Linked DNA regions of Coturnix japonica. The protein of the gene in region 1 purifies or fractionates together with the protein of each later gene. This does not show direct contact. Links are inferred from orthologs where the notes say so. Each region holds a gene or a part of one and is shown in the gene's direction. Other genes may lie near its edges. The genes, in order: MIA2, PREB and MIA3.

Evidence for each region.
Region 2: the proteins of MIA2 (region 1) and PREB purify together in Homo sapiens (affinity purification with western blotting; 3 studies listed by BioGRID and IntAct, with this or other methods). This does not show direct contact. The link is inferred for Coturnix japonica from reciprocal best matches to the Homo sapiens genes MIA2 and PREB.
Region 3: the proteins of MIA2 (region 1) and MIA3 purify together in Homo sapiens (affinity purification with western blotting; 6 studies listed by BioGRID and IntAct, counting the BioPlex papers as one, with this or other methods). This does not show direct contact. The link is inferred for Coturnix japonica from reciprocal best matches to the Homo sapiens genes MIA2 and MIA3.

What each region holds. Positions count from the first base shown.
Region 1 is NC_029520.1:34,149,877-34,153,524, forward strand, and holds part of MIA2 (melanoma inhibitory activity protein 2), read left to right. Parts: intron 1-1,683; coding exon 1,684-1,842; intron 1,843-2,471; coding exon 2,472-2,597; intron 2,598-3,392; coding exon 3,393-3,469; intron 3,470-3,648. UniProt on the Homo sapiens protein: Plays a role in the transport of cargos that are too large to fit into COPII-coated vesicles and require specific mechanisms to be incorporated into membrane-bound carriers and exported from the endoplasmic reticulum.
Region 2 is NC_029518.1:95,350,422-95,354,604, forward strand, and holds PREB (prolactin regulatory element-binding protein), read left to right. Parts: upstream 1-1,563; 5' UTR 1,564-1,626; coding exon 1,627-1,758; intron 1,759-1,837; coding exon 1,838-2,021; intron 2,022-2,133; coding exon 2,134-2,348; intron 2,349-2,413; coding exon 2,414-2,494; intron 2,495-2,567; coding exon 2,568-2,692; intron 2,693-2,793; coding exon 2,794-2,967; intron 2,968-3,034; coding exon 3,035-3,107; intron 3,108-3,176; coding exon 3,177-3,336; intron 3,337-3,413; coding exon 3,414-3,508; 3' UTR 3,509-3,659; downstream 3,660-4,183. Other genes in the region: SLC5A6 (sodium-dependent multivitamin transporter), read left to right, coding at 1-48, 134-201, 288-374, 456-637, 717-820, 890-1,011, 1,106-1,234.
Region 3 is NC_029518.1:15,697,112-15,700,226, reverse strand, and holds part of MIA3 (transport and Golgi organization protein 1 homolog), read left to right. Parts: intron 1-178; coding exon 179-228; intron 229-315; coding exon 316-406; intron 407-533; coding exon 534-672; intron 673-1,095; coding exon 1,096-1,197; intron 1,198-1,335; coding exon 1,336-1,396; intron 1,397-1,505; coding exon 1,506-1,541; intron 1,542-1,632; coding exon 1,633-1,700; intron 1,701-2,093; coding exon 2,094-2,191; intron 2,192-2,330; coding exon 2,331-2,462; intron 2,463-2,649; coding exon 2,650-2,718; intron 2,719-2,849; coding exon 2,850-2,926; intron 2,927-3,072; coding exon 3,073-3,115.

The sequences.
Region 1 (3,648 bases):
AATGGAAAATTTTGTTGGTTTGAGTTAAGTCAGTGGATTCAATTCAACAAGTTGAGAAAAGAACCAAACTTGGTCCTATTTCTTGGACAAATGCAGTTCTGCTGAAATAATTTCTGATGTTAAGTTAAATGAGTCAATTAGATTTCTGAAGGAAAAATACAGACGCTTCCATTTCATTCATTTAAAGAGAGAGAAGGAAAGTGGAGGTATCTTCATTCTCAACATTGTACTGAGAATCATGAAAAATGGTTCTGTAGGAAGTTACTGATTCAGTGAAGTGCTTCTCTCCCTTTAGTTTTGAAGTTTGAGGCAGTCATTGTATGCGGGGATAGTCTTATTCCTAGTGCTGAAAGAGAACAGGAAGGCTGTGTATAAGGAGAAGGAGTTGAGGAGTAGTTAAAGGAAAGCCGTGCTGTCATAGGTCGTAAGGGAAGGAATCATGACTCCTTCATGTTTGATGCTTTAATGGAAACAGCGTGGGTGAGTTCTAGTATGGAGTTTAGCATCTGTTACAGGTAATGAAGAAGCTACTAATATAACTTAGTACTGCTGCAAAATCTGTTGGCAACTGTACTTAATGGGAAATATGTCAAAATATTTATAAAATATATAAAAATATTTATATTTCAATAATCAACATTGATTTTTAAAAAATAGTATTGTCTGCTTGTGTACTTTAATTCTCTGTAAATAATATACCTGGCTCCATCTGAAAGTTGATTCATGTTCTGAGAGAGGGGAAAAAAAGCTGAGGTTGAATGTTCCACCATAGCTGTACCACAAACAAGAAGAATTACAGGCTTGGCAACTTCTCCTTGAATAGGGGCAATAAGTATTGAAATTTCGATGTCATGCAAATCTTTAAATTGTAGCTCAGCTCTTACTGGTGAGTAAGAGTGAAAAGTGGATTTCAAAGTGGAGTCATAGTAGGGAAGGTAACTATGCAAAGGCATGACTCTGCTTCATTTTGCAATACAACACTTAATATAACTTGGATAGATTAAACAAATGATGTGTGTAGTTGATGTAACTGCAGAGTAATTATAGTGCTCGTCTCACTTTGTGCAAGGTAGAAAATGGCTTTGAATTCTAGGTTGAATTTTGGAATAGAGGAGGATGCCAGAATTATGTATTCTGTCAATCTTCAGACCGAGTCTTACCTGAAAGGAAAGCATACACCTGAAGTCACAATTTCTCTTCCACTTACTTATATGTTGACCAGGTCTTTTCTATTATTTTCTTTCTTACAATAGAGAGGATGAGAATAGTTTTGAATATAGTATGAATAGATATTTTGAATGAGGATATTAACTTTGAGTGATAATTTTTAACTCAATGAGGTTTTGCTAGTGGCCATTACTGTAGTGCTAACAATAACCTTCACCATGAAGGCGGTAGTTTCTCTGCATTAACAAGTACTCTTAAAAATGATTTTAAAACGATCAGGTACTGTAGAGTGCAGTTCTCTTGAACGAATATATTTTCCTTCCAAACAAACCTTAAAAGGCTCCTTGTAAATCACCATCAGCAAACAGCTGGAGATTCCTGTGGACCTTTGCTCCTCTCGTATCTTGAAAGTGTTGGCATTTTGTGATGCATTCCGTTGTTTTCAGTCTTAATGAAGAAAGACATAATGGAGGTTTTAAAAACCTGAGTAAATAGCTCTCTGATTTCTTCAATTAGGATCTAGAGGACCAGGATCTACTGTTATGTACGAAGCCAGTAATGAACGAGGAGACATGAGTTCTGATAGATTAACTGATCCCCACAGACCACCATCAGATACTGGATCCCTGTCTCCTCCCTGGGACAGAGAACGCAGGATCATTCTGCCTCCATCAGGTACAGAAATTTGCTTGACTACTGGAAGAATGGAATTACTGACTTATGGTGTATATATTTAAGTATTTTGTGTCTGTATTAAAGAAACAAAGATACTACAATTTTAAAAACCAGCATTTAAAATAAAGCTATAGAACAACTGTCAGTTGCAGCAAGATATTATGGTTGCATATAAGCCTCCTCAGCTGCATATGAGCCTGATCATGAAACTCAAAGTTCATTCAAGGTGAACTTTCCTATTTGCCAGATCTCAGCTACTTCCAGGACATTGCAGCGGTAGTCCTGTTTTCCTGTCCAGAACTGTGTTCATACCCACCTCTGAATCTCTCTGCTGCAGTTTGCCTTGTAGCTCCGTAATAGCTCAATTCAGTGCAAGTAAATTGGAAATGTGTTAGAGAACGCAATGAACTGTAATGGGAAATGTCACTCTTAGATTAGTGTGATTTAAAATAAACGGTGGTCTATTTTTATATTGGCCTTCGTTACTGAAGGAAAGATTGTTTTCCCACCCTGATTAACAGTCACTTTGACTATTTCCAAGAGCATAAGATAGCCAGAGGATTTTGCTGGTGTAAAATTGTATGAAACACAGACCTGTTTGGTGATATTTTCTTTTTCCCCAATGACAGGTGAGCCTTATACTGATTCAGTTCTTCCTCCTCGAAGACAAGAAAGATTCTTCCCTCCAAATACTGGAAGACTTTCTGGTCCAGCAGAGCTGCGGACTTACAATATGCAGTCTTTTGATAAGACAGGTGGGAACTGCTTTACCTGGCTCCTGTGGTTCGAGCAACTGGAGAATCTCAGTGTAGGAGGACTGTATGAAGCCATGGGAGGAATTAGCAATAACATCCTCTTCTGAGTACATGGTTCTTGGGCAGTTTGTAGCCTACTTAATAGAAACAGCAGATAACATTTGGATAATGTTGCTGCCAACATCTAGCAGCTCATTAAGCTTGTGAATGTTGCTTTTTCAAGGCATATAATTTCACCAGACTTAGGCATTTGTAAAAATACACCCATCAGCATCTTATCTCAGAAGAGCAACATCTCACAGTAGTGGAGTCCAGGCTCCAACTCTAAGGTGAATTGACTACAAATACTCAGCAAGCTAACATAGAATCAGAGAATCATAGAATTACCTGGGTTGGAAAAGACCTTGAAGACCATCAAGTTCAACCGCAGCCTAACCATAGTGCCCTTATGCCTTTTCCTAAGATGAGATGCGTAACACCAAAACTTTAGCTTAAGTCAGATATCTGAAGAGCAAGAAACTTGTCAGAAGGGCTAAAGTTTGATAGAGTTTGAGAGCAGCTTAACGAGGATTTAAAATAGAAAGTTTTATGCAGCTTGAGTGTCGAGGAACAAATATTCAGGCTGGTGAAAATGCTGAAGTGTAGCTTTTGTGTTCCTTGGTTGTCTTTCTGTCTGCTCACAGAGTCGTTGCTTGGCATGGCAGTATGTTTAATTTTCTTGCCTGTATCTTCTGATATAAGAAAAGAAACTGGTTGGGATCAGCATTGAGTAACTTGTTTAACTTCTGCATACAGATGGGCAGACGTCTTCAGAAAATAGCCCACTGACAGAACCAAGTGGAAATGAGATGAAAGATAATTCTAATCTTAGCGTAAGTAGCTAAGCAGAAACTTGATTTACAATATATTTTTAAAAATATGGAAAAAAATGTCTGTAATACTCAGTAACGTATTGCATTGTGCAGTCCAAGCTATAAAAATTGTGTGTGGACTTTTATCGCAGTATTCACTGTCTTGTGAGTTAATTTTGAGATGTTAGGAGCATAATCAC
Region 2 (4,183 bases), on another chromosome or scaffold:
GCCCTGGGCTGTCAGAGTCACGTGCCACGCTGCTCTCCAAGCTCCTGGGTGAGCGGGGGGCATGGGAGGTGGGAGGGGGCAGCAGGGTCCTGGCAGGGCCTTGAACCCCCTCCATCCATCCGTCCATCCCCAGCGTTTGGCTATGGGCTGCTGTGCCTGGGGATGGCCTACGTGTCCTCCATGCTGGGCCCTGTGCTGCAGGTAGGTGATGGGGTGCTGGGGTCATCCCCGGCCTCGCAGTCCCTATTTCCCCCATTCGACCCCAAAATGGTACCATCTCCCCGCAGGCGGCCATCAGTATCTTCGGCATGGTGGGGGGGCCGCTGCTGGGGCTCTTCTGCCTGGGGATGTTCTTCCCCTGTGCCAACCCCACAGTGAGTACCCCTGACACCTCCCCCCCACCACAGCCACCCTGTCCGGTGCCACCAAGTGTCTGAGTGCCTGTCCCCCCACAGGGTGCGGTGGTGGGGCTGCTGGCCGGGCTGGCCATGGCCTTCTGGGTGGGCATCGGCAGCCTGGTGGCCAGCGCTGGGGGCGCCGCCCCTATGGCCAACAGCACCGTGCCCCTCCCCATCAACGTGACCACACCAGCCGTACTCACCACCACGCTGCTCACCCCCACGACGCCCCCCCCGAGGTGAGCACCTTGGGGCTGATGGGGGTGGTCTGTGAGGGTCTGACTTGCACCCCCCCGTCACCACCTATACCCCCCCCAGCCCCACAGGCCTGCAGAAGTTCTACCGCCTCTCGTACATGTGGTACAGCGCCCACAACTCCACCACCGTCATCGCGGTGGGGCTCCTGGTCAGCCTGCTCACCGGTGGGTGCCGGATGTGGGGCCGGGTGCTCCTCCCCCCCCAGCATCCCTCTCACCCCTATGACCCTCCAGGCCCCACACCGCCCTCTGCCGTGGATCCCCGCACCATTTTCCCGGTGCTGCCGCGGCTGCTGCGCTGTCTGCCCGCCCGTTACCGGCAGCGGCTGTGCTGCGGGGTGCGCTTCCCCACGCAGGTGAGCGGCTCGCAGCGGGACGGGGGGCAGCGGGTTGTGGGGCGGGAGGTGTCTGTGCATAACCCTACCGCCCCCCATCGCCACGTGCCCGCAGGACGCCCCCCAGCCGTCACCCGCAGCCGAGAAGCGCGTTCCCAACGGGCTGGGAGCTGCGCCACGGGACGACACGGAGGAGCGGGGCTACGGGCCGCCCGCATACACGGTGCAGGAGACGGCGTTCTGAGCGGGACGAGGGACCCCCGGGGCCGGTGCTGCCTGGGGGGGGGCGCGGGTGGGAGCACGATGCGGAGCGGTGCCGTGCTGTTCTCTCTCCCTACCTGCACCTCAATAAACCGTTATGGACAGCGACGGGTCCGGCGGGGCTGGGGGGGTGAGGGACCCACGGGGCTGCGGCATCGTGCGGTACGTGGGGCCGCGGGGCACGCGTGGGGCTGGTACCGAGCAGGGGGCGGGGCCGTGGGTCCAGGGGGCGGGGCTTGATGTGCGGAAGCGGCGGCGATCGGTGGGCGGTACCGGCGGGGTGCGGGGCGGGGCTGCGCTGTGCGGGGCGGTACCGGCGCTGTGCGGGGCGGGGCTGCGCTGCGCGGGGCGCTGACGCGTCGCGCCGTTCCCGCAATGGCGCCGCGCCCGACCGAGCTGTACCGGGCGCCGTTCCCTCTCTACACCGTCCGGCTGCACCCGCGCCGCGGACTCGCCATCACCGCTGGAGGCGGAGGAGCGGCCAAGACCGGGATCGGCAATGGAGTGGTGCGGTGCGGGGTTTAGGGCCGGGGGGTGAACGAGCGCGGGGCTCCCGGTTTCGGTGCTGAGCGGCGCGGTCCCGCAGCACTTCCTGCGGCTGGAGCAGATCGGGGGGCGGCTGAGCGCGTCGCTGCTGCACTGCCACGACACCGAGACCCGCGCCACCATGAGCATGGCCATCAGCGGGGACTTCATCGCGGCGGGGCAGGACCACAGCTGCCACATCCTGCGGCTCTGCGTGCCAACGGCCGGCAAGGGAGGCGGCGACGGTGAGCGGGGCCGCGGGGCGACGGGGCCGGTGTGCGGGCTGCGGGGTGGGCATTACCTGCGGGGTGGGCATTACCTGCGGGGCGCTCACACGGCCGGTCTCCGTCCCCGCAGCCGCGGAGGAGAAAGGGCCGCGCAGGAGGAAGGGAGGAACCGGCCCCGCGGAGCGCGGCGAGACGCGGAGCGACGGCGGGGAGGTGTCGGTGGAGAGTCTGCACCGCGTGCGCACCGACTTCAGCCCCGACGCGCTGCAGAAGGCCGTGCGCTTCAGCGCCGACGGCACCGTGCTCGTCACCGGAGGCGCCGACGGATTCGTGCGGCTCTGGGAGGTGGGAGCGGAGCGGGAGGGGCCGGGAGGGGTCGCCTGTCGGGGATCCGCTGACGGCCGCCGCAGTTCCCCAGCATGAAGAAGGCGCTGGAGTTCAAGGCGCACGACGGGGAGATCGAGGACATCACGCTGGGCCCCGACAATAAGGTGGGTGGGGGGCGAGGGCCGGGGGACCCCTAATGAGCGGCAGAACGAGCCGCAGCCGGCGTGTGCCCGGCAGGTGGTGACGGCCGGACGGGACCTGCAGTGCCGAGTGTGGCAGCGGGACCAGCTGGTGACCGGGCTGCAATGGAACGAGAACCTGCCCGGCGTCCCTGGCACCGCGTACCGCTACCAGGCCTGCCGGTGGGTGCGGGGCTGGGCCGTGCTGTAGGACAGCGGTGGTGACCCCATGGGGCCGCCCCCCGGCAGCACGGGCTCAGCTCCCCTTTGCTACCCCGTACCAGCTTTGGGGCGGTGGAGGACAACTGCGGGGCGCTGCGGCTCTACACGGTGCAGGTGCCCCACAAGCGGGAGCGCCGCCCCCCACCCTGCTACCTGACCAAGTGGGACGGGGGCACCTTCCTGCCGCTGCTGACACGGCCCTGCGGCTCCGAGGTCATCTCCTGCCTCTCCGTCAGGTAAGTGAGGAGGTTCCCCACCGCCCCCATCCGCTCCCAGCCCTGCTCACCGCCCCCCTCCCCACAGTGATTCAGGCACCTTCCTGGGGCTGGGCACCGTCACCGGCTCCGTCGCTGTGCACATCGCATTCTCGCTGCAGGTGAGTGTGGCACAGGGAGGGTACAGTGGGCAACGGGGCAACCCTCACCTCATGTGTGTCCCCCTTCAGAGGCTGTACTACGTGAAGGAGGCACATGGCATCGTCGTCACGGACGTGGCCTTCGTGCCTGAGAGCGAGCAAGGACGGGAGCTGCTGGCGGGGAACGAGGCAGCACTGCTCAGTGTGGCCGTGGACAGCCGCTGCAAGCTGCACCTGCTGCCTGCCCGCAGTATGTGTGTGGGGCTGTGGGGCCGGGACACCCTGCAGGACCCCACCTCTCAGCCTCCTTTCTCCCCCCACCCCCAGGGTCGCTGCCCATCTGGCTGTTGCTGCTGCTGTGTGCCGCACTCATCGTGGGCAGCATCGTGCTGCTGCAGATTGCCTTCCCTGGCTTCCTCTAGGCACCCACCCTGCTGTATTGGGGGATGGATGGACCCAGCTATGGGAGTGGGACCGCCCTGGGATACAGTGCCAGCAAGGCAATGGAATGCAGCATGCCAGTAGCTGGGCTGGAGCTGCTCCTTGTCCCCACCATTAAACCCAGAGTGTGAAGGTGTTGTCTGTGCTGAGGCTGTAAGGGTCTGCCAGCCTCCCTGTCCTCCATGCCCCCCTGCTGGGGTGGGAAAGGGATAGGAGTGGGGCCGTAGGGGTGGGAGAGGGCTCAGTGAGGACGGGAACGGGTTTATTGGGACTTGGAGGGGGTTCAAGGGGGGCAGCAGGCGCTGACCTCCTCCACAGCCCCCTCATCCTGCAGCCCCTGCAGCTCCTCCCCGTGCTGGAACACGGCAGTGACAAACTGCAGGAAGAGGCGCTCCATGAGACCACCGTGCCACGGCAGCAGCCCCTCCAGGAACCCGATGTGGCCTCCACACGACGTCACCAGCAGTGCTACGTGGGGCAGGTGCCAGGCGGCCGCCACGGGGATGGCTGCGAGGGGACACGCGGGTCAGCTGCCGGCCCTACAACACCATAGGGCTGGGCACGGCCCCACTCACCGTGCATGGGGGAGAAGGGGTCATCGGCGGCGTTGAGGCACAGCGTGGGCACACGGATGTTCTGCAGGCTGCTGGCAGGGC
Region 3 (3,115 bases), on another chromosome or scaffold:
TCTTGTGCTGGGCAGTGAGCTGCTGTTGTGTTTTGTTGCATTTCCTACACAACTCCCTGTCTTTTTTCCTTTGGACCGATCCCACATTGAAAGGTGGGGAATGTTATTTTTAACAGCTGTAGAGTTCAGGGAATTGGGATTAAGAAACAGTGAAAACAAATGCATTTTTCTCTTCTAGATAATGAGAAGATGAAGACTCAGATTAAACAGATGATGGATGCCTCCAGGGTATGCTACACAAGATGATGAATAAATACAGTTACATTACTGCTATGCCCGAGATTGTAAACTTTCTGCTGATCCTTTTTTTTCCAGGTAAAAACTATGTTATCTCTAGTCGAAGAAGACAGAAATTCTCTGCAGTCCAAGCTGAGTGATGAAGTAGCAGCGAGACATGAGCTGGAGGGTGGGTAGACTTAGTAAAACAATGGCTTTGAATGAAATGCTGTTTGCGATTTAGAAACAACCAGAACACTTAAGTTGTGTAACAGTTCCAGTTGCAAATTCCTCACTTACCTCTGCTTCTCCAACAGAGCAAATAAAAAAATTAGAACACGACTCCTCCTCACTGCAATCAGCCAAAGCTCGGCTGGAAAATGAATGTAAAACACTACAGCAAAAAGTGGAGATCCTCGGTGAACTGTACCAGCAGAAAGAAATGGCGCTCCAGAAGTAAGCCTGCAATTACTCTTCCATGAGATTGCTAAATTGTTTGAGTGCATGTTGATGGCTGAGGTGGATGAATCACTAGCACTGAAGAACTACTTATGAATACAGATGCATGTATCATTCTTGGATTACTTTCTTTTCTTACTGAGATGTCTGTAATACAATCTCAGTTTAGCGTGGAAAATATTAGGTAAGATTCAGGGATGTTTTCAGTTAGATGATGTAAGACTGAGGTTCTGATGGCGAGGCGGTTGTAAGAGAGGAAGACATTAGGAGCCTCCTCAGTACATGCAGAGAAATGTCAAAAACAGTACAGTTAGTGAAGAATAAGGTTAAAGAGGGTGTGAAAAGTTATCACGTAAGAGATAGAGGATGGGTAGAATGGGTGAAGTACATTTTTTAATCTGTTTGTTTTTCCTTGTGTAGAAAGCTAACACAAGAAGAGTATGAGCGCCAGGAGAAGGAGCAGAAGCTGTCTGCTGCAGATGAAAAGGCCGTGCTGGCTATCGAGGAAGTGAAAGTTTACAAGTAACTTTGGTTTCCTGAAGGCTGTTGTTTCTCTTTATTTCAGCTACTGAGGAAAAATCATTTAATTACTCTCTTTTCCCTCTTCCCCCCCCCCCCCCCCCCCCCCCCCCTTTTTTTTTTGTTTTTCTTTTCATAAAGGCAGAGGATTCAAGATATGGAAGAGGAATTGCAGAAAACAGAGAGATCTTACAAAAACCAGGTGAATTGTCTGCTACTTTCTGCATCATTCTAATACTCTGTAATGAGTTCTAGCAAATCAAGTTGTCAGAAGAAAAGAATTAACATACTTCTTTTCTTCTCTTCTCAAGATTGCTGCTCATGAGAAAAAAGCGCACGACAACTGGGTAAGAGCGTTCTTCCCTTTTTGATACGAACATCTTGTATTTGGCTTCTGGCTGATGCAGTTAATGCAGCTGGCAAAACTTTCCCTGACAGCTTATTGCCCGTTCTGCTGAGAGAGCTCTGGCTGAAGAGAAGAGAGAAGCAGCCAACCTGAGACAGAAGTGAGTACAGTACAAGCTGCTTTCATTGCTCTGGGATCATGTTGTTAGGCAAGGAGGAGCTTAAATTCTGCAAGGTGCACGGTCAGCCTGTTTCTGTATGTGGGAGATGGAGAGGTTGGTTTGATCTCTTTGGAGATCAAATCTCTGTGGTGCACAAATGAATAACAACTTTAAGCTTTGAGCTTGTTTTGATGGTTAAAATAGGATTTCTGGGTAAAAGCTCAAACATGTTACAAAGTAGTTTCTGTGATACTGTTACTTGTAATACAACAATACAACAAATACAACTCTCATGTATGTATTATTATGTTATATGTATAGTGTATAGACATACATGTATATACATGTGTGTATATATATACCTATATTTAAGTTACTATCTGTTGAATTTAGATTAATGGAGGTGAACCAAAAAATCATCATGCTTCAAAGACCGCTCATTGTAAAGCCAACTCCAGGCAGACCTGATCGCCAAGTCCCACCACGCCGAGGTGAGTGCTCCTGTTTCTCCCAAAGCTGTGGTCTTAAAATCAGTCTGTTCTTAAAAAAATAATCCAAAACCCCAAAGGCTGTGATATAGTAACAAAACCAATGTGATTTACTTTCCTTCGTTGATTTTTCTTGCTGCAGTGCCCTTAAGTAGAGATGGTTCTTTTGGTCCATCACCTGTGAGTGGAGGAAATCCGTCACCCACACAGATGATGGAAGTTCCCAGTAGGCCCCTTTCTGCTCCTCAGAGGGAAGGCTCAAGAGCTGAATTTGGTAAGCAGAGAGTGTTCCTTCCTGTCTTGTGCACCTTACACACTGCAAGCCCAAGAATGCTAAGGTCTGATTTTGGTTCTAGGGGTTGTGTAAGTATTGATATCTGCTCTGTTAATACACAGATGGATTTATTTTGAAGTAGCTCAAGCATGTGTTGATTAGAATCTCTGGTGTTGTTTCTCTTAAGGTACAGTGGTAGATGGCCCCCCCGTTCCACGGAGGCAACCAGAGCTCCCTGGAAGGATGTCTGTTCCTGGTAAGTTATATGACCTGCCACCAATTGCACAGTGTACTCACTTAATCTTTCACATCAGCAATGGATCTTGAAGAACCACATTCCTTTTCCCAAAGCATGACTAAGACCTGCCTTTGTGGCTCTCTCTGCAGATCTTGGGCCTGCTGTAGCATCTCTGATCAGCGCTGGGCCGAGAACCTCCTCTCCTGCCACAGCAAAGGACAGGGCGGTAAGCTGAGAAGGAAACAACCTTCAGGAAACGTTTCTAATCCACAATTCACTGTACTTCCTGCTGCTGCTTTAATTGTGTCATGTTCTATCTTATGTCCTCCTGTCACTACTTTATTTGATGTCTGCCCCTTTCCCCAAAAAAAGCAGCCCTCTCCCAAAGAGCCTGAAGCCCCCTGTGTAACTACTG